Linked DNA regions of Mus musculus: all the other regions are reported to be linked to region 4. Evidence: microRNA targets listed by miRTarBase, many of them from high-throughput screens and not tested one by one. Region 4 holds a microRNA gene; each other region holds the end of a gene's coding sequence. Distances are between the middles of the regions.

Region 1 (6,119 bases), not on the chromosome of region 4:
CCAGAAGTGGTATAGCTGGGTCTTGAGATAGATTGATGCCAATTTTTCTGAGACCACCATATTGATTTCCAAAGTGGCTGTGTAAGTTTATGCTTCCAACAACAGTGGAGGAGTATTATCCTTGCTCCACATCCCAGCCAGCATGTGCTGTCACTTGCATTTTTGATCTTAGGCTTCTGACAGGTGTAGTGGAATCTCGGAGAAGTTTTAATTTGCGTATCCCTGATGGCTATGGATGTTGAACATTTAAGTGCTTCTTGTCTATTTGAGAGTCCTCTACTGAGAATCCTGTTTAAATCTGTACCCCATTTTTAATAGGATTATTTGGTTTGTTGATGTCTAATTTTTTGAGCTCTTTATATATTTTGGAAACTAGCCCTCTATCAGATGTGGAGTTGTTGAAAATCTTTTTCCAGTTTGTAGGCCGCCATTTTGTTCTAATGATGGGGCCTTTGCTTTACAGACGGTTCTCATCTCATGGGGTCCTATTTATTAATTGAGATCTTAGGACATGAGTGATTGGTGTTCTGTTCAGGGCAAGTGTCTCAAAGGATCATATGTCCTGTCTAAAGCTATGTCTCAATATTAACGTCATAAATGTGATATAAGCTTCTTAGGGGTACAGTCCCCTGGTTATAAACATTAGGGAAGTACCAATACTCAGTATTGCTTGCTGAGGTTAATCTGCTTTGTTCTCCTGAGTTTCCGCTGCCCTGTGTTCCCTTTCCTGGGCACAGATTCGGTGGCTTCTACGACACAGCCAGCCTTTGGCCGCTGTGAGCCTTTTCATCTCTCCTCAGCTCGAGCACGAAGCTTATCAGTTTGGGATTTGTTGATGTTCATCCCTGTGACATTTTGCCTTTCAAATGGAAAGTTAAGGATTACTGGAGTTATAATTGGATTTGAGTTTAACTGAGACTTTGTTTTTTGTCTTCTCTTAGGTGTGGTGTGGTGGACTTTCTTTGAGTACTGGAATGCAGGTTCCAAGTGCTGTGAGAACACTTCAGAAAAGTGAAAACGGAATGACTGGTTCAACTAGCAGCCTGAACAATGTCACTCAGTAATGGCAACTCAGACTGTTTCCCTTCCCTTTGACTGTGTGGCCTTTCCCACACAGTTACTAACAGATATTTCTGAGTGGTGGAATCAGGTTTTCTATGTTCTGCTTTAAAGCCTGGAGTCTGTTAGATTAACTACCAAATAGGAAGCAGCCATGGAGGTTATTGCCTGCGTCCCAGAATCAAGCAGTTGGGGTGCAGGAGGCTGACATAGTGATATTGAGTAGTGATTAGGAAAGGGGCGGTGTTGAACTGTTTGTGTAGAAAGCCATCTTTCTGTCTCTTAAGCTCCTCTGGTTTGTCTGGTAGGTGTAATTACGCCTGGCGAGCCCTGGGCCCGGGTTGCTAAGCATTAAAAGCTTGCCTTTCTCCCTGCCCTTGCTCTGTTTCTGCTCCTCACCGGCTGTCATTACATGCTACACTGAGGCTTTAAAAACACAAGGTCCCCCAAGGCTTCCTAGAAATTGAAATCTTTGCCTAGGCAGAGAAATTGACCTATGGTGGCTTATTTTAGTCTTTTATAAATAAACTGAGTTTTTGATAGGGTAACTTATGGATTGACTAGATTCATATCACTTTCTCCTCTAAAATATTGTAGTATTTTCTTATAGTTATAACTCAAAAATATCAAGCAGACAGAGAATTTAGGCAGTGCAAAGGAGTATTCTTGTGTGTTTGTGTTGAGTCATTCTGTCCATTCCTCCACCAGCTCCTGGGCACCACCTGAGAAACCGTGCTCTCTAAGTTTGTTCTCTGCTTTGACCCCACTTTTATAGCTGTCTTTGCATCTTTGATAAAACTTCCACTTGAATTTGGCACTGATAATAATTATTGCTTATGAAAGTTTGTGAATTAAGTTCTTTATAAAGGGTAAAAAGCTGTATATTGCTGGGTTTTGTTGTTTTTTTGTTTTGTTTTTTTTTGTTTTTTGTCTGTGTAAGATTATAAAGAAATGTGCCTAAAGTATTCTTTTCTGGAATAATTTGTATGTTCTTTTATAAAGATATGGATTGGTTTACCAGCTGTTTAAAAAAAAAAACATGTGTCCTAGCTGGGCATAGTGGTGCATACCTTTAATCCCAGCACTTGGGAGGCAGAGGCAGGTGAATTTCTAAGTTCAAGGCCAGCTTGGTCTATAGAGTGAGTTCCAGGACAGCCAGGACTACACAGAGAAACCCTGTCTCAAAAAAACCAACCAAACAAAAACAAAAACAAAATGTGTCCTACTTAATTGGTATATGTGTTTTTCAAACAATCATTTGAGGGGTGTTTTGATTTGGTTTGGTTTTTGTTTCTGTCTTTTTGGTCCATTCATTCACTGTTTAAAAGTTTATGATTCTTCCAAAAATGAATATAGTTTCCTTTTTCAAATCTGAAGGCATGTGGGAAGCAGTGAGCAAAACCTGTGGTTATTAACGGAAAAGTCTTTTATTACAAAGTCAATTAAAACTTTTCATTCAAGGTTTTTGAGCCAAACTAGAAGTTGAGATTGTAAAACTGCTTTAAGAACTTTAAAGAAATGAATATTTGATCTCTGATTAATTTTTGAGACTTCTAAATCTCTTCTTGTTTTAAGTTTCTTGGACTTCTGACAAACTTCCCTGGAGAAGTGTTCATTTTTGTTTTCTTCATGTAGCTTGTAGATCATAATAAGTATTTGCTCTTAAAATTTACTACTTAGTAGCATGATTATTTTTGTTCTGTTGATGAAGCAAATTTGACAGAATATTATTTCTCCATATCACACATATCTACACTATTATCTGATAACACACTGGTAGTTTTTAAGACTAAGGCAGTTTATAGAATGAAGTATATCAATATTCTTTTGGTTTCCCAAAGCAATATTTTACTTTTCATTTATTATAGTTTGAAAGACATTTTTCATTGTTCCATTACCTATAGAAATGGTATTTCATGACCTAGGGAAAAAGGAATTACTCCTTTTTGTAGACTCATACCTGAAAGCAGTGATTTACTAGAATTGCTTTGTGTGGCTACTAAGTTTATTTTGTCAAAAATGACAAGGAAAAAGCCAGCTGTTTTCATAGACCTTTTCATTATGATACTGTATCTTGCATAGTTGAATCTTCTCATTTATACAGTGCCTTTTTCTCATGCTCATTGTCTACTGACTTTAAGGCAGGCAACACTGGACCATAGTGGTGCAGGCCTTCTATTGAGGCCAGAGGAGCAAGTGTGCTTCTTCCTTGTCCTTGTCCCATCATTGAGACCTTCATCTACAGTTTCCAAACAGTCATTGGAAAACGCACGACAGTTACCCAGAAGGTTTTATTTCTCAGCAGATTTGTAGAATGAAGTATAACGTCAGTGAATGAGAGTCCAAGTTCTTATCACACGATATTAGGTACTAATTATACCCTCATTGCTTTAAAATACACATCAGGGTCTCTTTTAAAAATAGAACAAATCTGTAGTATTTAAGTTTAAAAATCTTAAGTTTATTATGTTAAATTGAATTTTGTCAACCCTTCTTTTTAAATTAAAATAATTGAATAGAGTGCCTAGTTAAATTTTCTCAAAGCAAGGTAACTGCTCAGCTCAGTCAGCTGTGGCAAGCTGGCCAGCCCTCTTCACTCCAGCGTTCTTCACTGCTCTATGTCTGCTTACACAGCTTGGACATGGCTGCTTTCCATGAAGGAAATATAGGGGAGGTGGACTGTAAGGGATATATAACCAGTGTGAAGAACTGCTTCATAAAATATGTATTAAGTATTGTATTTCCCTCTTAGCAGTTGAATCCAAACCAGTTTCATTTAGCTGGAAGTAGACAGGAAGGAGCTGCCTTAAGCACTTTAGAAAAAGAATTTGCTACAATTCATTTGACTCAGCTGATTGTGTCACATCTTTTAAATACTGGTAAATATGGATATACCAAGTATTTAATGACTAATGCACATAGAAATTAATATTAATACAGTGATCTTTTGAATGTTCCAGGTATAGGCTTTTTAAAAAGTGTTAAGAGTGTCTGTCTGTCTGTCTGTCTGTCTGTCTGTCTGTACGTTTAATTGATAGCACCTCTGCCGTGTGTCATCAACTACTAGACAGCCAGGCTAAGCCTTCTCATTCTGTTCTGAAGATTCTAAAAAAATTCGAACCATCAACAATAGTATGTATAATTTGAACTTCCATGATTGATCCTTGATATAAATAATAAAAGAAAATATTTATGATGAAATATTTTAATTAGGTCAATTATCTAGAATTACCTAGTTTTGTCTATATATCTTTTCCATGAAATTATAGCTATCTATGTATTTGTAGTTGTTTCTTTCAAAAACAATTTTTAAAAATTGGAAAGGGATATATATGAGAAGTGATTACTCCAAAGAATATTAATCTTAAAAGAAAGCAGTATAGATGTCTTACCATGAAATACATTACTCTAGGCTAAAATTTCAACTGTTTTAGTCATAGATTTTTAGCATCTTTGTTAGATCAGCATATAATTCATATAACTACTTAAGTTTTTATGATGTATCATCAATTTTATTACTTTCTGTCTATGTTTGCAAAAGTAGTAGAGTTTAATTCACCATATGAACCTCATTCTGATGTTTTTGATTTGATAGTCTTGATCTAAAAATAATGTTTTGTTAATATGTCACTAAATTTCTAAAAACTGTATTCATGGGCTGCTGAGATGGCTCACAAGAAAAGCACTTGCTGCCAACTGGATGACTTGAGTTTGTTCCCTGGGACCCAAATGGAAGGGGAGACTTATCTCCTGCAAGTTGTCTTTTAACCTGCGCATGTGTGTGCACATGTGCATGCGCATACACACACACACACACACACACACACATACCTTAAAAATTTTTTAAAGTACATTTGTTGTTGCTTGTAAATTAACTACTCGTAGTAATATTTCACTTTTACATTATAATAAAAAGTTTGGAAAAGTTACTTTTCTTGTTTTATTTTTACATCATATTCATTCTGTCAGAAGTAAGCATGAAATTACTCAGTATCCATGTCACCACCAAGTTGTTGTTTTCAAGCCAGTATATTTTTTCATAACTCCAGTGCTCAGACCTAGAGTAATAAAGCTTTTCTTACAGAAAACCATCACAGCGACATTACCTCATGTTTGTATGTTTAGTTTTGTGTCTCGTAACAGTGTTCACATTTGTGATTCTGATGTCAGTATTGTGTCACCTGAGCGGGATGATTACCTGAGTACCATAGGAACTTTGTACCAGTTGGAATTTAAGTGGACTGTTTGCTGCTTTTGTTCGCATTGGAACGTTGGACATGCCATATGATACTGGCTTAGTAATCAATACCAGTAATTACCATAGAACTTTATCTGACTACCCAACCATATCAAAAGAGTACTTTTTTCTGGGTTAATAATACTAGCTTTGATACATAATCATTTAAGTTATATTTGTTTAAAATTATATATTTTCTTAGTAATAGTCAAGTTGGTGCTTAGGAATAAACATGTAGAAGTTTATGCAGTATGTAGGGCAGAGGTCAGTGAATGTATTTGCTTGGCTTGGAACTTAAGATTGAACCAATTTTACAATAAATCAAATTGGAAGAAATTGGTAAAAGGCATTTTAGTAATATTGGAACTTTTTGAAGTGTGTGGGACTATGAGAAGAATTTCTTACTAACATTTCCAATATCTGTAAGATACCAAAGGACTGAGACTAACTGATCTTTTAATGGAATTTCTTTGAAATCAAATCCATAACTGATTCTATTAAGATACAATAGCTAAAGTTGGGGAATAACTTCAGGTAAAAACTGCAAGTCTTGAAGATTTTTGGCATTCTTTTAAGTATTTAAACTTAATCTTTATAGCTGCCCCATACAGTAATCTATGACCTCTCTGAATCACTCTTCAATCTTGGGCCTCTATTGCCTTACTTCAAATATTGTACCTTGTTTAGCCTACCTCACAGGGCTGTTGTGAGGAGTGTAGTGAAACGGACTCTCATGTGAACTGGGTGGTTTCCACTAAGAATGGTTGTGTTTGGATACTTGTAAATGCTGTTTAGTTAGAAAAAGCATGTTAAGTTGGTATAA
Region 2 (6,119 bases), not on the chromosome of region 4:
ACTGTGTTCGGGGCAAGTGGAGTGAACCATAGCAACCGCTCCTCTGCTTGAGTCTCCCCTCTCTAGGGGCTGGCTGCTACTGTGGCTTCAGGTCCCTTAGGTGGCAGATTTGCTTCAGTATGTACAGAATGTAAGGGAGGGGGTAAGATGGCCTCCACTGGTCCCAGTGGCAGCACATGGCTACTTCTGATGGCTAATGTCACCCAGTGACACTTGGGTGTCCGCTCCCTTTCTGGGCAGTATTGTTGCCATGGTTACAAGGGCAGAGCCAGTTTAAGCTTGAAGCATCCTGCCCCTGGCTGTGGCGGCCATGCAGACAGGTTTCGGGAACATGAACCAGTCTGTTTTGCCTCACACACTGGCGGCTGGCCTTTCTTCCATCTGTAGTCAACCAAGCTCTGGTCTTTTGTTTTGACAACACCCCAAGGCCCAACTCCCAAGTGACAGTGTCCAGGCCAGCCATCAGAGATGCAGATTCCAGCCCAAGCTGCCAGAAGCCAGCCACCACTAAGCAAGCACATCGCTTCTTCTGAACTTCAACACCCTTCTCTGAAGCAGACCAACCAACCACTGTAAGAACCAACTAAAATGCCCTTGAAAGCAAGCTGGTCCTGTCATGTGGAGGCTGAGGTACCCTCCCAGTGGCCCATGTCCTGAGTAAAGATAGTGTCCTAAGGGCTGCTGCTAGCCCAATGCTAGACTCCCAGAGTCATGGGATTTTTTTCAGCCCTGCCAGAGCTCCCTGGATGCAACCGACCTTCAGATCTCCCACCCACCCCTGCCCATAGCTTTGCCCTTGGTACCACCCAGAGGCCCTTTCCAAAGCAAATCCTTTCCTCTGATTCCAACACTAGCCTGTGGTGTGCAAGGCCAAGGGGTCCATTGCAAGTCCAGAGAGCTACAAAATTCCTCAGAATCCCAGGAAAGCAGCCGCCACCTCTGGATTCTGGAAAAGTCAAATAGATGCTGCTACAGAAGAGACCCTTAAGCAGGCAACTGCCTCTAGAGGCCTGGGGGGAGGGGCGAGGTGCAGATTAACACTCCCTCCAAAGACCACAGACACAGTGGGCCAGGAGTGAGGGATGGATGCAATGACAGGTGCATGTGTGCAGAAATGTAGTGCATGCCTCTAAATCTGCATGTGAGCCTGTGTACACTCACATGAGTGTAACAATATCTCTGTGTCTGTCTGGCTTACATGTAGTGGAAATGCATATGCATGTATTTATGTATGTGTGTATACGTGTGTGTGTGTGTGTGTGCACTTGCAGATTGTGGAAGCTCCTGGACTCCACTCTGGCTACACTGAAGGTTTCCTAGAAGGGACAAGCCAGTTTGCAGGGAAGGGAGACAGGCTGACGGGTGATGTGAACACTCTTTGGGTCTTCCAGCCACATTAACTGAAAACTGACTTGGGTGTGAGAGTGCTCCATGGCAGAAAAGCATTCTACAGAGGGAAAGAGATTGCATCCATTGTCCAGCCCAGAACCCAGAGAACAAGGCAGGATAGAAAGTAGGAAGGGATAACCCAGGCTGGTAGGTGGGTACCAGACCATCTGTGGGGACACAAAGTCTCCAGATAGGGCATCTGGAAACAGCAGTTGGAAAAGTTGGTGAGGCAGACAGGCGGGCAGCCGTGACCTCAGAGCAGGGATACAAAGCTGTCAGGAGACAATAAGCATCCATAGATGGTGAATCCCAAGGGCCATGGCCCTTGAGAAATCAAATCCTGAAGATTCAGAAAAGTTATCTTTGGCATGACAGTGTGGCCTAAGGATCATGGCTTTGTGGGAGCCACCCGCACTGTGGCTATCCGGGTGCTGCTGGCTCAGCCTGGAGGCCACGCTGAACTGTTCTCACACAGAGTGCTGTCAAATAATAACTGCTTCCAAGGATTATGAGGGTGGGATTCTGACATGTGATGTTTACCAATTTCCTTGGCGTCGAGCCTCTACGTGGTCAGATTCAAGGCACCATGGTACAAGCTGGCTCCCAGAATTCCTGAAAACTTAATGACGGCCATTATGATCTAACTATGACAATCAGTTGTCTAGCTAGTTGAAGATGCCCTCCCAGCTGTGAGGACCTGCAGACAGATGTTGACACGGTCGTGAGGGATGGGTGTCGGCTAGAATTGAAGATGACAGAATCCCAATCAGCTTTCCTGCACAAAAAGTTTTATTGAGGGCTCACAGAGAGGCTGGGAGAGGACAGAATCAGGTTCGGGGCTGAGCTTCCAAGAAAGGCAACATAGAAGCCATCCTAGGAGCCTAGTCCTAGTCCTGAGAGCTGCCACAGGCTCAGAACATTCCATCTCAGTCTGTGACTTACCACCCCTCAACCTCTAACCCCACCCAAGGATTTCAATTTAAACCGTGTCTTAGGCAATCACATGTAACTAGTGGGAGGGAAAGTGCCCAAAGGAGCCAGTGGGTGGGACCTGGGATGATAGGTTTATACTGATGGGGGTGAGGATGGGGCAGGACACTGAGCCATGTGGCAAAAATAAAAACAACAAAAAAAAACCCCGCCCACTGTGCCTGAGGAACACTCAAGTCGGGGTGGGGTGGGGGTGGAGATGCGCAGAGTAGGGGAGGACTGACCCAGAGTCCTGGAGATCTAGAGGGTCTGTGCAGAGTTGGGGGAGGAGAATATCTCATTCAAGGAGAGAAGGAAGGTGAAGCTGGTGGAAGCAGGTGGGATCCAGGGAGAAAGACAGTTTCAATGCAACCATCCACATCTGCAAGTCTCCAGCAGAGGCTCCAGCCTCATACACTTAGCCTGTGAGTTGGTCATGGGAAGGAAGGGAAGGGTATCTATATACATGAATGAATGACATGGAATGGGACGACAGGGAGATAAGACTCTGAGGCAGCAGGGTTGGAAGCTTGGATGAGCAGGAGAGTGCTGAGGTCTCTGAGGTCCTCCTTATAGGAGGACAGGGCATGCTCTCTCCAGGGTCCATACTCTCCTGAGTCTCCCATCTCCTCTTTCCAGCAAGGGCTGAGCAGGAGCTGTATAGATGTGCAACCAGGTAGGGCTAAGCCCTAGGTTAAGAGCAGCAAGCCTGGCAGTGGGTTGAGCAGCCTGGGACGGAGCCCTACCTACACCGGTGTATCTAAAAGACCCAATAGGGTGTTTCTGGGACAAGAGCAGCTACAGACTTCACCACCAGGCCTCCACCCATGTTCTTTTTTGACCTGGTTTTGTCGATGGGACAGACATGCTGGATAGTGGCAAGCTCCAGAAACAGGGTCCCTCTACTGAGTAGGATGGTAGAAAGGCCGCAGGGGCCAGCTACCTCCCAACTTGTGCCCCTGCCTGGAAGCAGCTACCGTCCCCACCACATGGTAATAGGAATGCAAGCCATACCCTCTGCACTGGCACCTCCCAGAGTATGTGTCAGGCTAGAGGTGTCCCTGTCCATGGGACATACATAGATAGCTACTTCAGCACTGCCACAGCACCAGGGTGGTACCTGGTCCTTAATCCAAGCCCTCAGCTCTGGCTTTTTTTTGTTTGTTTGTTTGGTTTGGTTTGGTTTTTTCGAGACAGGGTTTCTCTGTGTAGCCCTGGCTGTTCTGGAACTCACTCTGTAGACCAGGCTGGCCTTGAACTCAGAAATCTGCCTGCCTCTGCCTCTCAAGTGCTGGGATTAAAGGCGTGCGCCACCACTGCCTGGCTCAGCTCTGGCTTTTTAACCTCTTTTCCTTGGCACAGCACCCTCCAGGGTCCAAATCATACAGCCCTCAGCACCTGCCTCCTCTGAACACTTAACTGGGTACTGGGTATTGAGCATGTCTGTGCCAATGGGGGCCAGGCAGCATCACAACGTTGACTGGTGTCCCTAAGGAGGCTGCTTCGAGGTTCCAATTCTCATGGGAATGGGAATGGTCCTACTAGCTCCGCCAGGGTCTGACCCTGAAGACAGTGTAGCTTGGCCCAGGGCTGTGGAAGAATAGTGGACAGCTTGGGAGCTCATCCAGGGCTCTGTTCACCCTGCAGATGCCAGGCATGGTGGCCCCACGGTCACCATGTAGGTGTGGGCATTCAGCAGTGGGGAAAGTCTGGAATTCATGAGTGTTTTTCTCTTCCATATACTTTTGCAGCTGACAGCCATGTAGCCTCAGGCAAGTGTGTCACATGGTGACAGAACTGTGGGTCACACTGACGGTAAGGACCAAGTCAGGCCAGGCCCCCAACATAGTCTCACCTTGCCCCTGCAGATCACAAGAAAATTCCCAGCACACACAGAAGCCACATTCAATTTCTGCTCAGAGCGGCATCTAGACCCTATACTCAGCACACACACACACACACACACACACACACACACACACAGACACACACACTATGCTCATTTACTTCTCCCAGATACTCGATGACGACATAGCTTAGGGTATAAACACTTATACAAAAGGACAGTAAATAACAAAACTGGAAGTCAAGTCTAGTTAGGTGGCTAGAACATCTACCCCTGAAGATGAAGTAATTACAGGTAAGAAAGTTGATCAGTGAGCTCTGGGATTTCAGCGAGGTGAAGAGAAGGTTCTTGTTGCTAGAGAAAAGCAGTTCCTGTTGACTGGCATGGCAACCTCAAACTTCAGTCCCTCCTCTTTCTGAAAAAACAGCTGCTTTAGATATTGGCAGTAGAAAGCAAGGCACAAGAGCCACCGAGGTTGACAGGTTTCCACTGCCCAGGAATGGATAGAAGTGGCAGAAGCTGAGGCAGCCCATAAGTGGTCTAGCAGCTGACACGGCCATGGTGAGCCCATGCTGGACCTTTCTCACGTTTCTCCATTTTCTCCCTCTCGATGGACTGACATTTTGGCACAAGGGCAACTAAAGAACTCCCAGGACAAAGGTCAGAGCAGACCAGTGCAGGCTGGACTTTGCACTGACCTCTCTGGAAAGGTCTAGATTGCCGGTACTTTGCTCTGGGAAAGGGCAAACATCTCTGTGTTCAGATGTACTGGGAGAGCAGGGGTAAACAGAAATGAGCCATTCCCCGGTGGCAAAACTGCTGGCGCCATCCTCCCTGCCAGGGCCCCCATCCTTGCGTGCACAAGTATTTACTTCCCACAGCATGGTGTGGGAAAGGGAGGTTGGCAGATCAGACGGCTCACAGACCTATACCACAAACAGCCTGGGTTTAAGTGGCAGCTGAAGCCAGCCTTGGCAAGGAGTTCCGTTTCTCTCGACCTCCATTTACCTACCCATTAAGATGGGCAAACCCCCCTCCCCCCGCTACAGTGTTAGGCAGTGGCTGCAGGGACCAAATACCAACTATGAAAGTGCTTTTTTGGGCTGAACAGCTGCAATGCACCTCCCTGGGGACACAAGAGCACCATCACCTCCACCTGCTGCAGAAAGACAGGGTAGCCAGGCTCAGTGGCCCACCGGAGGTGGGTGCTAGGGCACAGGGCTAAGAGGCTCCTTGGAGACTGGAGCACTAGGCAGGGACTTCAGGTACTCCAGGTGTCGTCTGGCATCCTCCTGGTTGTGGCGTACGTAGTACACTACGTAGGCAATCACCATGGTAAACCAGCCGAACATGGTGACCAGCATGGCGACATCGGTGGTCTTCCGGTGGGTACTGCAGAAGCTGGCACCTGAGTCCAGGACCTGGATCAGCGGCTTGCCCACAAACTGCTCCTGCGCTGAGGTGTGGCAGGCAATTTCATCCACGGAGTCCGGGTCCAGCTTTAGTTCCCACAGGGCCTCCTGCAGGGCACACTCACAGTGCAGTGGATTGTGGGACAGGCGGATCTTGGCACTCAACTTGCCCAGGGCGTCCTTTGGAATTCTTCGGATGCGATTGTGGGATAAGTCCAGCAGCCGCAGGCCCCCAGCCAGACCTGAGAAGGCTGCTGGCCCAATGGCCTCAATGGCATTATGGGACAGGTCCAGCTCCCTCAGCTGAGGCAGGTGTTGGAAGGCTCCATTGGGGACTCGGGAGATTCTGTTGGCGTCTAGTTTCAGAAGCACCGTGTCGGCTGGGATGTCCCTAGGGATCTCCTGCAGCCCTCTTGAGCTGCAATGGACAGCCACGGCCCCAGCATGGTCAGGGCACTGGCAGGCCTGTGGGCAGGAGGCACCTAACCGTAAGCAGAAGAGGA
Region 3 (6,119 bases), 25 Mb from region 4:
CAGAGCAAAACCCTTTGTCAGAGACAGACACATAGAAACAACAGACAAAAACAGGGACAGATTCACAAGACAGCCTTCACGCAGACACAGATTCAGGCTCATATACCGAAGGCATAGGGAACATAAAGAATTCAAACAAGAACTTGCTCTTGGTTAAACAACTCTAAAAGTTCTTTTCTTTCTTTCCTTGATGGACATCAACACATTACAAGAGCGTCAGGACCCAGAAACTCACCTTATTACTCCACAGAGCATTTCGATTTCCTCAATTATATCTGCATTCATCTATGTGTTGATCAGACTGTATACAATCTCACTACATAGCCCTGGAGAATTACCAGCCTAGTATGGTGTGGGGTTTTCACCATGAGTGACTGCTCTTCCAAAGGTCCTGAGTTCAATTCCCAGCAACCACATAGTGGCTCACAACCATCTGTAAAGCCCTCTTCTGGTGTGTCTAGAAATAGCTACAGTGTACTCATAGAAATAAATCTCTAAGACACCGTCAATAAGACAAAAAGACCACCAACAGATTGGGAAAGGATCTTTACCTATCCTAAATCAGATAGGGGACTAATATCCAACATATATAAAGAACTCAAGAAGGTGGACTTCAGAAAATCAAATAACCCCATTAAAAAATGGGGCTCAGAACTGAACAAAGAATTCTCACCTGAGGAATACCGAATGGCAGAGAAGCACTTGAAAAAATGTTCAACATCCTTAATCATCAGGGAAATGCAAATCAAAACAACCCTGAGATTCCACCTCACACCAGTCAGAATGGCTAAGATCAAAAATTCAGGTGACAGCAGATGCTGGCGAGGATGTGGAGAAAGAGGAACACTCCTCCATTGTTGGTGGGAGTGCAGGCTTGTACAACCACTCTGGAAATCAGTCTGGCGGTTCCTCAGAAAACTGGACATAGTACTACCGGAGGATCCAGCAATACCTCTCCTGGGCATATATCCAGAAGATGCCCCAACAGGTAAGAAGGACACATGCTCCACTATGTTCATAGCAGCCTTATTTATAATAGCCAGAAGCTGGAAAGAACCTAGATGCCCCTCAACAGAGGAATGGATACAGAAAATGTGGTACATCTACACAATGGAGTACTACTCAGCTATTAAAAAGAATGAATTTATGAAATTCCTAGCCAAATGGATGGACCTGGAGGGCATCATCCTGAGTGAGGTAACACATTGACAAAGAAACTCACACAATATGTATTCACTGATAAGTGGATATTAGCCCCAAACCTAGGATACCCAAGATATAAGATATAATTTGCTAAACACATGAAACTCAAGGAGAATGAAGACTGAAGTGTGGACACTATGCCCCTCCTTAGATTTGGGAACAAAACACCCATGGAAGGAGTTACAGAGACAAAGTTTGGAGCTGAGATGAAAGGATGGACCATGTAGAGACTGCCATAGCCAGGGATCCACCCCATAATCAGCATCCAAACGCTGACACCATTGCATACACTAGCAAGATTTTATTGAAAGGACGCAGATGTAGCTGTCTCTTGTGAGACTATGCCGGGGCCCAGCAAACACAGAAGTGGATGCTCACAGTCAGCTAATGGATGGATCATAGGGCTCCCAATGGAGGAGCTAGAGAAAGTAGCCAAGGAGCTAAAGGGATCTGCAACCCTATAGGTGGAACAACATTATGAGCTAACCAGTACCCCGGAGCTCTTGACTCTAGCTGCATATATATCAAAAGATGGCCTAGTCGGCCATCACTGGAAAGAGAGGCCCATTGGACTTGCAAACTTTTTTTTTTTTTTTTTTAAAGAGTTATTTATTTATTATATATAAGTACACTGTAGCTGTCTTCAGACACTCCAGAAGAGGGAGTCAGATCTCGTGATCGGATGGTTGTGAGCCACCATGTGGTTGCTGGGATTTGAACTCCTGACCTTCGGAAGAGCAGTCGGGTGCTCTTACCCACTGAGCCATCTCACCAGCCCGGACTTGCAAACTTTATATGCCCCAGTACAGGGGAATACCAGGGCCAAAAAGGGGGAGTGGGTGGGCAGGGGAGTGGGGGTGGGTGGATATGGGGGACTTTTGGTATAGCATTGGAAATGTAAATGAGTTAAATACCTAATAAAAAATGGAAAAAAAAAAGAAATAAATCTCTAAAACATTAAAAAAATAAAGAAACCTCTATGAGACCTAGTGTTCTTGTGTGTGTATGTATGTGTCTATGTGTATGTACATGCACGTCTGTGTATGTGTGCTTGTATGAATGTATGCACTTTTAAAAAATTAGGTATTTTCTTCATTTACATTTTAAATGCTATCCCAAAAGTCCCCCATACCCTCCCCTCTTACTCCCTAACCCACCCACTCCCACTTCTTGGCCCTGGCGTTCCCCTGTACTGAGGCATATAAAGTTTGCAAGACTAAGGGGCTTCTCTTCCCAATGATGGCCAATTAGGCCATCTTCTGAATGTATGCACTTTTGTAAGTGTGTTTGAGTGTATGCATTCATGTATGCATGTGTATGTATGTGACTGCTTATTCAGCTATATGAGTACACACGTGTGTATGTTGTATACATGGGTGTATTGTGCATACTCATTCATGTGCACATGCATGAGTGCATGTTTGTGTGCACATGTGTGTGTGTGCATGTGTGTTCATGAGTATAGTATATGCATGTGTGCATGCTCACAAATGTGCACACATGTGTGGACTTATGTTCATGCATATATTTTTGTGTATGCATGCAGCCACACATGTGTATATTTAAGTATATATTTAAAACACTATAAGAGAACAAAATAATAATCTGAGTATATAGCATATAGCATTGTTGGTTATATAGCTGTATGTCCACTTGACACAAGGTAGCAATGGTTCTTAACCTGTGGGTCTCGACATCTTTAGGGGTTGAACAACCCTTTCACAGGGGTTGTATATCAGGTATCCTGCATATCAGAGATTTACATTCCGATTTAATTAATTAATTAATTAATTAATTAATTATATGTAAGTACACTGTAGCTGGTCATGGTGGTTTTTGTTTGTTTGGTTTTGTTTTTAAATATTTGTTTGTTTGTTTGTTTATTATATAAAAGTACACTGTAGCTGTCTTCAGACACACCAGAAAAGGTTGTCAGATCTCATTACAGATGGTTGTGAGCCACCATGTGGTTGCTGGGAATTGAACTCAGGACCTCTGGAAGAGCAGTCAGTGCTCTTCTTAACCGCTGAGCCATCTCACCAGCCCACATTCTGATTTATAACAGTAGCAAAATTACAGTTATGAAGTAGCAATGAAAATAATTTTATGGTTTGGGCATTACTACAACATGAGGAACTGTATAAAAGGGTCACAGCCTTAGGAAGGTTGACAACCACTGAGCTAGGTTATCTGAAAGGAGGGAACCTTAGTTGAGAATGCTGCTGCTATAAATTCCAGCTGTAGGGCATTTTCTTTTTTTTTTTTTTTTTTTAAAGATTTATTTATTTATTATATGTAAGTACACTGTAGCTGTCTTCAGACACTCCATAAGAGGAAGTCAGATCTCATTAGGATGGTTGTGAGCCACCATGTGGTTGCTGGGATTTGAACTCTGGACCTTCAGAAGAGCAGTCGGGTGCTCTTACCCACTGAGCCATCTCACCAGCCCCTGTAGGGCATTTTCTTAATTAGTAATTGATGGGGAGGGTCCCACCCTTGGTGGGTGGTGCTATCACTGGACTGGTGGTCCTGAGTTCTGTAAGAAAGCAGGCTGAGCAATCCTTGAGGAGCAAGCCAGGAAACAGCACCCCTCCAGAGCCTCTGTATTACCTCCTGCCTCTGGTTTCTGCCTTGTTTGAGTCTCTATCTTGATTTTGGAATACAATGTGGAAATATAATCTGAATAAATTAAATCCTTTCCTCCCCAGCTTGCTTTTGGTCATGGTGTTTCAAAGCAGCAATAGAAACCCTAATTGAGACAGGTATAAAGTGTCACATGGCTTTAATTTTCAGGTTGCTTTTGGAATCAAACATGTGAAGCAGCTTTTTTAAAAAAATACATTAACAATGAGGAGAAATCAGGAGACCTAAACCCCATAGTCCTTGGACCTGAGCTCTGTCTGTGCCTTGGGACTTGGATGTCTTGATTCCAGACTCCTTGGTTCCTGCAATGCTGTCTGTCTGTCTGTCTTTCTTTTTTTTGTTGTTGTTTTTTTTTTTTTTTTTTTTTCTCGAGACAGGGTTTCTCTGTGTAGCTCCTGGCTGTCCTGGAACTCACTCTGTAGACCAGGCTGGCCTGCCTCTGTCTCCCGAGTGCTGGGATTAAAGGCGTGGGCCACCACCACCCAGTTCTCTCTCTCTCTCTCTCTCTCTCTCTCTCTCTCTCTCTCTTTCTTTCAAAGTCTGCAAAACCAGTAAAAGGTGCTGGTGCAGAGGACAAGTTGCCTACCCACTGAGCATGCTCTTCCGTGTCTCCAGGGAAGCTGAGCAAGCATGAGCTCCGCACTTGCATACCACGATAATCACTAGACAAGACATTGCAGTCCATCTCTCATGGCCAAGGAGGGTCATTCATAATCAAAATAAGGTAGTCTAGCAACCTTATTCTAACTACTGTGCCCTGGATCCACACAGGTTGGGGCTGCCACTGTGTACTTGAGATTTTCACAACTCTCGGCTGCCACATCTGGTGTTGATGTTCTCAGGGGAGATGGCATGGACAGAATGGACCCACCTGAGTGCTCACAGACACCTGCCTCAGTGCTTGGCTTCCAGCATGTGCACACAGGTGTCTTTCAGAGTATTACAGTGATGAAATGCCCAGATCCAGTGGGCAGCAGGCAATTAGGGCTGGAAATGCTTTGCTCTGTGTTCCAGGTCAAGTAAGAGCCAGTCAAAGTCTAGGTCAAGGGTAGGGTTGCAGTTGCTTATCACTTGTCCTTCTCCTGTGGTAGAGGGAGGTTCCAGTCCGTAGGGGGCCTTTGCCTCAAGGCCCATACCAAGGTGTGCTTCTGAGCAGCCTGGACCCGAACCTGCTCGCTCTCACAGAGGGATCGCTGTACAAATGAGACTTGGTCACTTACTGTTTCACCACTGGATCCTAGGGCTCTTAGTACTGCTGCATGGCACCTATATCACCCTCTTCCTCAACACTCTTCTGAAGAGAGGAACACATGGGAGCACATGGTACACACAGGCTCAGCTGCTTCTATACCACACTCCTTGGCAACTGTTCTGTTTTAGCACACACCGGTCATCTTACTTCAGCAGTTTTATTTTGTGTTCTTTGGACATGTTTTAGACAGGGTCTCAAGTAGCCCAGGCTGGTCTCAAGATCACTATGTATGACCTTCAATTCTGAGATTGTTGTCTCCACCTCCCGAGTGCCGCAATTATAAGCATGCACAACTATGTTCAGTCTCTGCCTTCAGCCATGCAAAACCCGCTAAGCCTCAGCAACAGCAGACCTGGAGAGTGTGGAGCTAGTTACCCGCCTAGCCTGGGAGTGAGGACACTGGGTGGGGAAGAGAGGGAGAGCGTCTAAAATTACTGTTGGACTCTGCACAGGGTATGTGTAAAAGGTGCCCCCCATCCTGCCAGCTTCTTTCAGCCACTGCCAACAGACACTAGACAGTGTATTATGACAGGGCTGATCCTGGCAAAGTGTCAGGTGCTATGTAGGCCTCTTTACAAACATTCTTAAACTGGGAGCGGTAGTATTCCCAACAGTTGGCAGACAAAGCCAAAAGGATCTGAAGTTCCAAACCAGCCTGGGCTATACAGCCAGACCCCATCTCTAACATGATCACATGATCATTATTACTTAATAAGCAAATAGGAGCCGGGCAGTGGTGGCACACGCCTTTAATCCCAGCACTTGGGAGGCAGAGGCAGGAGGATTTCTGAGTTCCAGGCCAGCCTGGTCTACAGAGTGAGTTCCAGGACAGCCAGGGCTATATAGAGAAACCCTGTCTCGAAACAAAACAAAACAAAACAAAACAAAGAAGCAAATAGGGGCCTAGTATGTGGGTGAATGCCTGTAGTCCCAGCACTCAGGAGATGGAGACGTCCAAGTTCAGAGAGATCCTGCCTCAGTATATAAGGTGGGAAGTGACTGAGGAAGATGCCTAATGTCA
Region 4 (6,119 bases):
CTCACCCTCTGGATGCTGGCATTTGCCATACATTGCTGGTCACATGCTCACCTTGCTTGACCTTTCAGCAGTGTTTGACACCTTGGTCTTCTTCCTCCATGAGGAAACTGGATTTTCCCCCTTAGCTCTGTTCTTCCCCTGAACCCTTCTTGACATCCATTCCTCTTCTACTTATGCATTGCATCCTGGGTGTTCTTCAGGGTCCAACTTTGGGAGGGGGGTTCTATTTTCTCCTTTAAGCAAACTAAATTTTGGTGTCTACCAATTCTATCGACTGGTAAGTTTGTTTTCCCCAAATGATTTCCGTAGTCAGTGAAAGAGGGACAAGAACAAAAATGACAGATAAACATTGCCACAGTTATTTGGTCAGCAGAGGAAGCATGTGTACCTAACAGTTTCAACCAATGAGAACCCAGTACAATACACCAAAGTTTCATAGTGGAAGCCGGCCTCCAGTGTGCCTCCTTCCCAGGAAGAGGAAAGAGTGGAGTCCTTCCTTCCTTCCTTCCTTCCTTCCTCCCTCCCTCCCCCCCCCTCTCTCTTTCTTTCTTTCTTCCTTGGTAAGGTCTTTTTATTATGTAGCTCTAACTGTCCTAGAACTCACTGTATCACAATGTAGACTACGAGATCCACCTGCCTCTGCCTCCTGAATGCTGGGATTAAAGGTGTGTGCCACCCACACTAGGTTGACAGGAGGGTGTGGGACCCTTCAGTGTCACCTTGGTAAAGCCATTAGACGTTAGTATTCTCAAAGCTGGTCTTGGTAGTCAGTCAAGCAACATTTGACCCGAAGGTACACTTTACTAAATTAACAGAGAGAACTGTTAGAAATTAGGGCAAGTCTTGATTTCTCATTTAAAACATTTCTCTTTTGGAAAAATTAAAATTGGTAGATGAGACTCTGTGTCCTATTCGTTATAGTCCAGGACTCTGCCAGGAAATTGTTCTGAATGAACTAAAGCCAGAGATGTTTTCAAGGTAAAGAGTCATCGAGTAATCGAGACGTCACCTTAAACTTTGCAGTGACGAAAGCCATGCCGAATGCCTCACCTGAAGAGCTGGCTCTTCCGACTACTCCCCAACATTCCATTTAGGGTACTCAGGATAGGATCTATGCTAGCTGTGATGGCAGGAGTCTGAAGCGAATACTGGTCAGTGCTGATGTGGAATAAGAATAGGTATCAATGACTCGCTAGAGTTGAATTGAAAACTGTTGTCATGGGGAGGTTAAGTTTTAACATAGTTAATTTTCACGTGGGGTTAAAATAATATTGCAGTAGGTGTTTTACATTATTTGAGCAAATGTAAGATCTTTCCATTTGCACCCTGTCGCTAATCAGCGTGTACAGTAGAAGAAATTCGGAACCGTCCCTTTAATAAAACATTCTTTCCCTAGCCTCTTCCAGTGGGCGTGGCTTAGGAACCTGTCGAGTGAGGTGTGACTTCAGCTCTGCAGGCTGACCGGCCCCCTGGAAAGAGGGCTGGTGCTCAGAACCAGGAAGCAACAACTGAAGCTTCACACAGCACTGGCTTTTACGTGGCGAAGAGCCCCGTAAAGAGTAGGAAACTGAAGTACCGAGTTTGCTTAGCTGTTATCAAAGTTTTGAAGCTCTAACTGTGGATAAAGACTCCATAGAGTACTTAGAATACCAAGCTTTCTGGGCCAGAAATTGATCTGCTGACTTTTGACTCCTATCTGATTACTGCTTGGTTCATCTTTATTTTGCTCAAGTTATCTATCTGCAGGCTGAACCCAGAGCCGCTCCGCTCCTTTGCAGGTAGGTGGTCGACTTTCAAATAATATTTAGGTCGGTTTTTGTTTTTTTTTAAGGCTCAGCTGCTAAATACTGAAAAAGTTGCGACTATCAGACTGGCATGTTTGAATAGCGTGATTGTAAATAGTCACGTTTTTGAGACAGCTGGACAACCTTGCAGAAATAGTCATTTTTAACAAATTAGCACCATGAATTAAATGAGTTTTGTTTTGTTTCCCATTAACCAATTATGTATTTACATTTAACTAATGGATGAAAATGTATGTTGAAATTATCTTGCTAATTAACTTAAATAGCATTTTGTTCTCAGGTTTTGCTCGCCAGTTGCATGTCTTTTACCGTTAGGAAGCTGAGTGTTCACCACCAAGTCATTTGTTTGCTTTAGTTTTTATCTTCGGAAACGTCTATTATTTCAAAAAAAGTTTTTGTGAACGGTTAATAATCTAACACAGTTGTGCTGAAAAATCGCCTTCTTCTGGTAAAGCTATCTAACCATCCTTTTGCGATATGAAAACGGTTCCAATGATGATGTCTCTGGAAGACTTAGTTAATTCACAGTATGAATTATTGTTATGAAAACAGAATCCACACAGAATCTCTGGGGTAGAAGGCGAGTCCCTTTAGGACCAAGGACAGGAGCATCCTTAACTGTCACTAATGGGCCTTTATATTTTTCTTCTCTGGATATTCTACTTGAGAAGACTTCATCCGCTAAAAGGACAGTTGTAGGAAATAGAGAGCATCGCAGAGTTTGTTTTCTAGATGTGTGATTTTTCAGTTAGAGTTCTCCAACCTGGGATTTCTACTCCGCGTTCACATAATCAGCTGGAAGCAAAGAGGCATGTTTTTCTTAGCTTGCCTCCTTTATTGCAGGTTTTTGAATATTTTTGACATTTTTGAAGTGTAGATAATGACATCTGAATTGTCATCAGCTGGTTTTGTGGTCATCTTGGCAAACTGGGATATAGCTGCCGCAAGTCCAGACCATTTTCCTTTTAAGCTCCCTGGTTCCATGAAGTGTAAGGAGAGTCATCTAGTAAAAACCAGGACACAGAGCTGCTCCTGGGAGGAGGGAAAGGCGGTGGTGGTTGTTGTAGGGGCTGAACACCGGGGCTGAATTCAGGGCCTTTATACATTTGGCCCCATTATATATTTTTACATTCAACCTCTTAACTTTGAAACATTTCTCTGATTGGGCTAGGAGATGACTTACTTGCTAGCTTCATAACTAATGTTACTTCTGTCCATCTCTGCCCTCCCTATGGGTTGGTCGTCTTCTCTCCATCTCTTCTAGTTTTTCTTCACGAATCCGTCTGTCCTCTAGCTTACCCAGAAGCCTATCTCCTCGGTGGAGCCTCATCTGGCCACCTTGGTCCTCAATAATATTAACTCCTTTTGCACTTCCCTATCCCATAGACTCTTCCAGCCCATTAGCACATGATCATGTGCATCTGATTTAAGAGTGCCCTGTATCCTTCAGACATGAGTACTAAATTCGGAGATTGTTTTTATACCCTTTGGATCTAGAGCGGTGCCACAGGTTTCATTCCCAATAAAGACCTGTGGAATGGATGGAAGATCGTATTGACAGTTGCTTCAAGTACCATGCTGTCTCTCTCTCTTGTCTTGCTTAATCATGTAATTAATTGCAATGTTCCCGGAGACCAGTCTGTTACTATGATATGATGTTATTTTCCCAAATAGTTTACAGCTTGCTTTATTTGGTGATTAAGGTTTTTTTTTTTTTAAGTGGGTCGGTGTGTGTGTGTGATGCCCATGGAATCCCGAAGGGTGTGTCAGTTGGAGTTACAGATTTACAGATGTTTGTGACTTGCCTCATGTGGGAGCTAGGATGTGGCCACTGGTCCTTTGGTGGAGCAGCAAGCACTCTTAACCACGGGTACATTTCTCGGCTGTACTTGGTAACTTTACCACTGACATGCTGTCTATAAAGGAAGCAAGCTAGAATTTACTAAAAGTAAATTAGTATTCTGAAGGTTGTTTTCTTGCATTTTATATTTTAGGAAAATGTAATTTGGAGCTCATTGGTGTGCAAAGTTCTAAAAATGCTTAAAATATTCAGATACAATCGTGAATTAGAAGTTTTGGTTCTCGGGCATTGGTAGCGCATGCCTTTAGTCCCAGCACTCGGGAGGCAGAGGCAGGTGAATTTTTGAGTTCAAGGCCAGCCTGGTCTACAGAGTGAGTGCCAGGACAGCCAAGGCTACACAGAGAATCCCTGTCTCGGAAAAAAAAAAAAATTTGGTTCTGAGTTAACATTTAGGACAACTCTGAATTGTGATCATAGGTTGTATGGATTTCAGATCAGTAATTAGCAGAAATGATAAGTAACTTACTTTTATAGAAAAAAAATCACTTTAAGCATCTTTACTGAAGTGTACTTCTGCACAGTAGCCTCTTTAATACACACTTTGAAAACCCACCATTTTCTAAGTGGAATGTGCCTTTTAGTTTCAACTTCTTTGGAGAATAGCTCAAGCCCAAGATCGGCCTTGAGAATGTGGTTAAACCCTGTGAGAAACGATTATCTGTTTATCGATTTAACTCTTGGTTTAATTATTTATTCTTACATTTTTGCCTACATATAGGTCTGTGCACCACTCGTGCGCCTGAGATGGCCAGAAGATCCCCTGGAACTGGAGTCATAGGTGGTTGTGAGCCACCATGCAGGTGCTGGGAATCAAACCCAGGTCCTCTAGAAGAGCAGCCAGTGCTCTTATCCATGGGACTTCCTCTTGAATGTCTCTTATCAAATGGGCATATTTAACCTTTCCTTTTCAGCGATGGGGATGGAGCTCTGCAGAGCCTTGTGGATGATATGCAGTTCTCAACCACTAAGCTATTATGCCCAGCTCCCATTAACCCTTTTTTTTAAAAATAGAAAATAGGGAGACAAATAGGCCAGGATCTATCCGAGCCACACCTTGACTGCTCACACCACGGCTCCTCTGACTTTGGCCTTTGTGCTTTGAATTACAGTTACGTTATCTGTTGCATTTTCCAATAGTCACGCAATGTTTCTGTCATCTTAGAGCCTGACCAGACAGGAGTTCTGGCAACTGCTCCAGCAGAACTATGGCACGGAGCTAGGCTTAAACGCTGAAGAAATGGAACACTTGTTATCAGTTGAAGAAAATGTGCAGCCAAGGTACAGTGAAGCAACGTAGAGTGTCAAGGTGCATTATGGCCCATCACAGTGGGATCATTGTAGGTCGTTTCAGTTCTGAATTTCTTTGAACTCATCGTTTGGTGCGGTTTGCCCTCTTGTTGGTAGAGTGCAAGTTGGGAGAGAAGAGACTCATTTGCTAAGTTGGTAAGCACGTGTGGGACGTGAAGAAATGTTAGAGATGAGGCTATGACTCTTAGAATTTACTACTAGAAAGCCTTTTTATTAAGGATCTGGAGCAGGGGCTGGTGAGATCTCACAGGAGACACTAGAGCAATTTGAGGGTTAGGGTGGTTTCATGACTTTTCCTCAAAGTCTCCCTAGCACCGTGGCATGTGTCCCACATTCAGTAGACACCGATCACCTTAGTCAAAGGAGCTGACCGTGCCGTGGGGGATGCAAGCAATGGTAATGTCAGGGTCATGTGCTGCTATAGTGTGATAAAGAAATTAGTAGAGAGATTATTTGGACAGCTGTTCATTAAGAAGTGTGAATATTTTACTAACTCTCCAAGTTAAAAAAAAATGTACCTTATCAATGTTAATTGAGACCATAGCCTCAATAAACAAAGATAATACATTAAAATTCTGTAGCATTTTACATTAGGCTAAATGAGAGAAGCCAAGATCCAAGGACCATTTGCCTTTTTGGTTGGTTGCCTATCGGGTAGCGGCTGAGCCATCTCTGCAGCCCTCCAAATCTTATAATGTAAATATGTTGAAAGTCTGAATACATACACAGACGCTCCTCTCCTCTGGGCAGTCTGCTCCAACCTATGTTGTCTCAGTTTACATCAATATTTTTATAGTCTTTTTTTCACATGGCTACCCATGCATATTTTATAACTTTCCTGTAAAGTTCACATTTTTCCATTACCCTGCTGTCATTAATAAAGTTTACTAGTAGTCCTTAGGTACCGAAAAGGTGTAGAAAATCAGGTTACTAACGCGGAGAGCCTTGGGACCTTGAGAGTCAATAGGATCTGGATTGTGCTTTGTAGCTGAGATATCTCAGGCAAACCTTTGGACATTCCCAGGCCTCAGTTTCCCCATCTATGAACAGTTAGATTCAGTGGCCTTCAAGGTCTCTGCTGACCTGTGAACTTCGTAGCGTCTGAAGCAGGAAAGAATACGTATCTAGACCGAGTCTCTCATGCA

What was found. Region 4 holds the annotated microRNA mmu-miR-3470b (UCACUCUGUAGACCAGGCUGG, at 3,961-3,981, opposite strand). A microRNA usually pairs through its seed, bases 2 to 8, with sites in the 3' UTR of a target mRNA and lowers its output. Matches are read on the target gene's strand: a 7mer-m8 pairs with bases 2 to 8, a 7mer-A1 pairs with bases 2 to 7 and ends in A, and an 8mer does both.
Region 1: the mRNA of Fsd1l is a reported target of mmu-miR-3470b. Seed matches in the 3' UTR shown: 7mer-A1 at 2,196-2,202.
Region 2: the mRNA of Lrrc3 is a reported target of mmu-miR-3470b. Seed matches in the 3' UTR shown: 8mer at 3,589-3,596.
Region 3: the mRNA of 2510002D24Rik is a reported target of mmu-miR-3470b. Seed matches in the 3' UTR shown: 8mer at 4,258-4,265.

Annotation. Positions count from the first base shown.
Region 1 is chr4:53,700,100-53,706,218 of GRCm38, forward strand. It overlaps Fsd1l (fibronectin type III and SPRY domain containing 1-like), which reads left to right. Exons shown (of 13, transcript NM_001195284.1): 13 at 942-6,119. The coding sequence ends at 1,064. Among named protein-coding and RNA genes, the nearest start is that of Fktn, 11 kb to the right of the region's middle.
Region 2 is chr10:77,895,415-77,901,533 of GRCm38, forward strand. It overlaps Lrrc3 (leucine rich repeat containing 3), which reads right to left. Exons shown (of 2, transcript NM_145152.4): 2 at 2,161-6,119. The coding sequence ends at 5,413. 1700009J07Rik (RIKEN cDNA 1700009J07 gene) reads left to right here. Exons shown (of 2, transcript NR_015547.1): 2 at 428-697. Among named protein-coding and RNA genes, the nearest start is that of Lrrc3, 4.1 kb to the right of the region's middle.
Region 3 is chr16:18,838,010-18,844,128 of GRCm38, reverse strand. 2510002D24Rik (RIKEN cDNA 2510002D24 gene) reads right to left here. Exons shown (of 3, transcript NM_001033164.2): 3 at 4,016-5,039. The coding sequence ends at 4,914. Among named protein-coding and RNA genes, the nearest start is that of 2510002D24Rik, 4.5 kb to the right of the region's middle.
Region 4 is chr16:44,011,747-44,017,865 of GRCm38, reverse strand. It overlaps Mir3470b (microRNA 3470b), which reads right to left and starts at 4,014; the gene lies at 3,889-4,014. Gramd1c (GRAM domain containing 1C) reads left to right here. Exons shown (of 17, transcript NM_001359085.1): 6 at 4,829-4,944.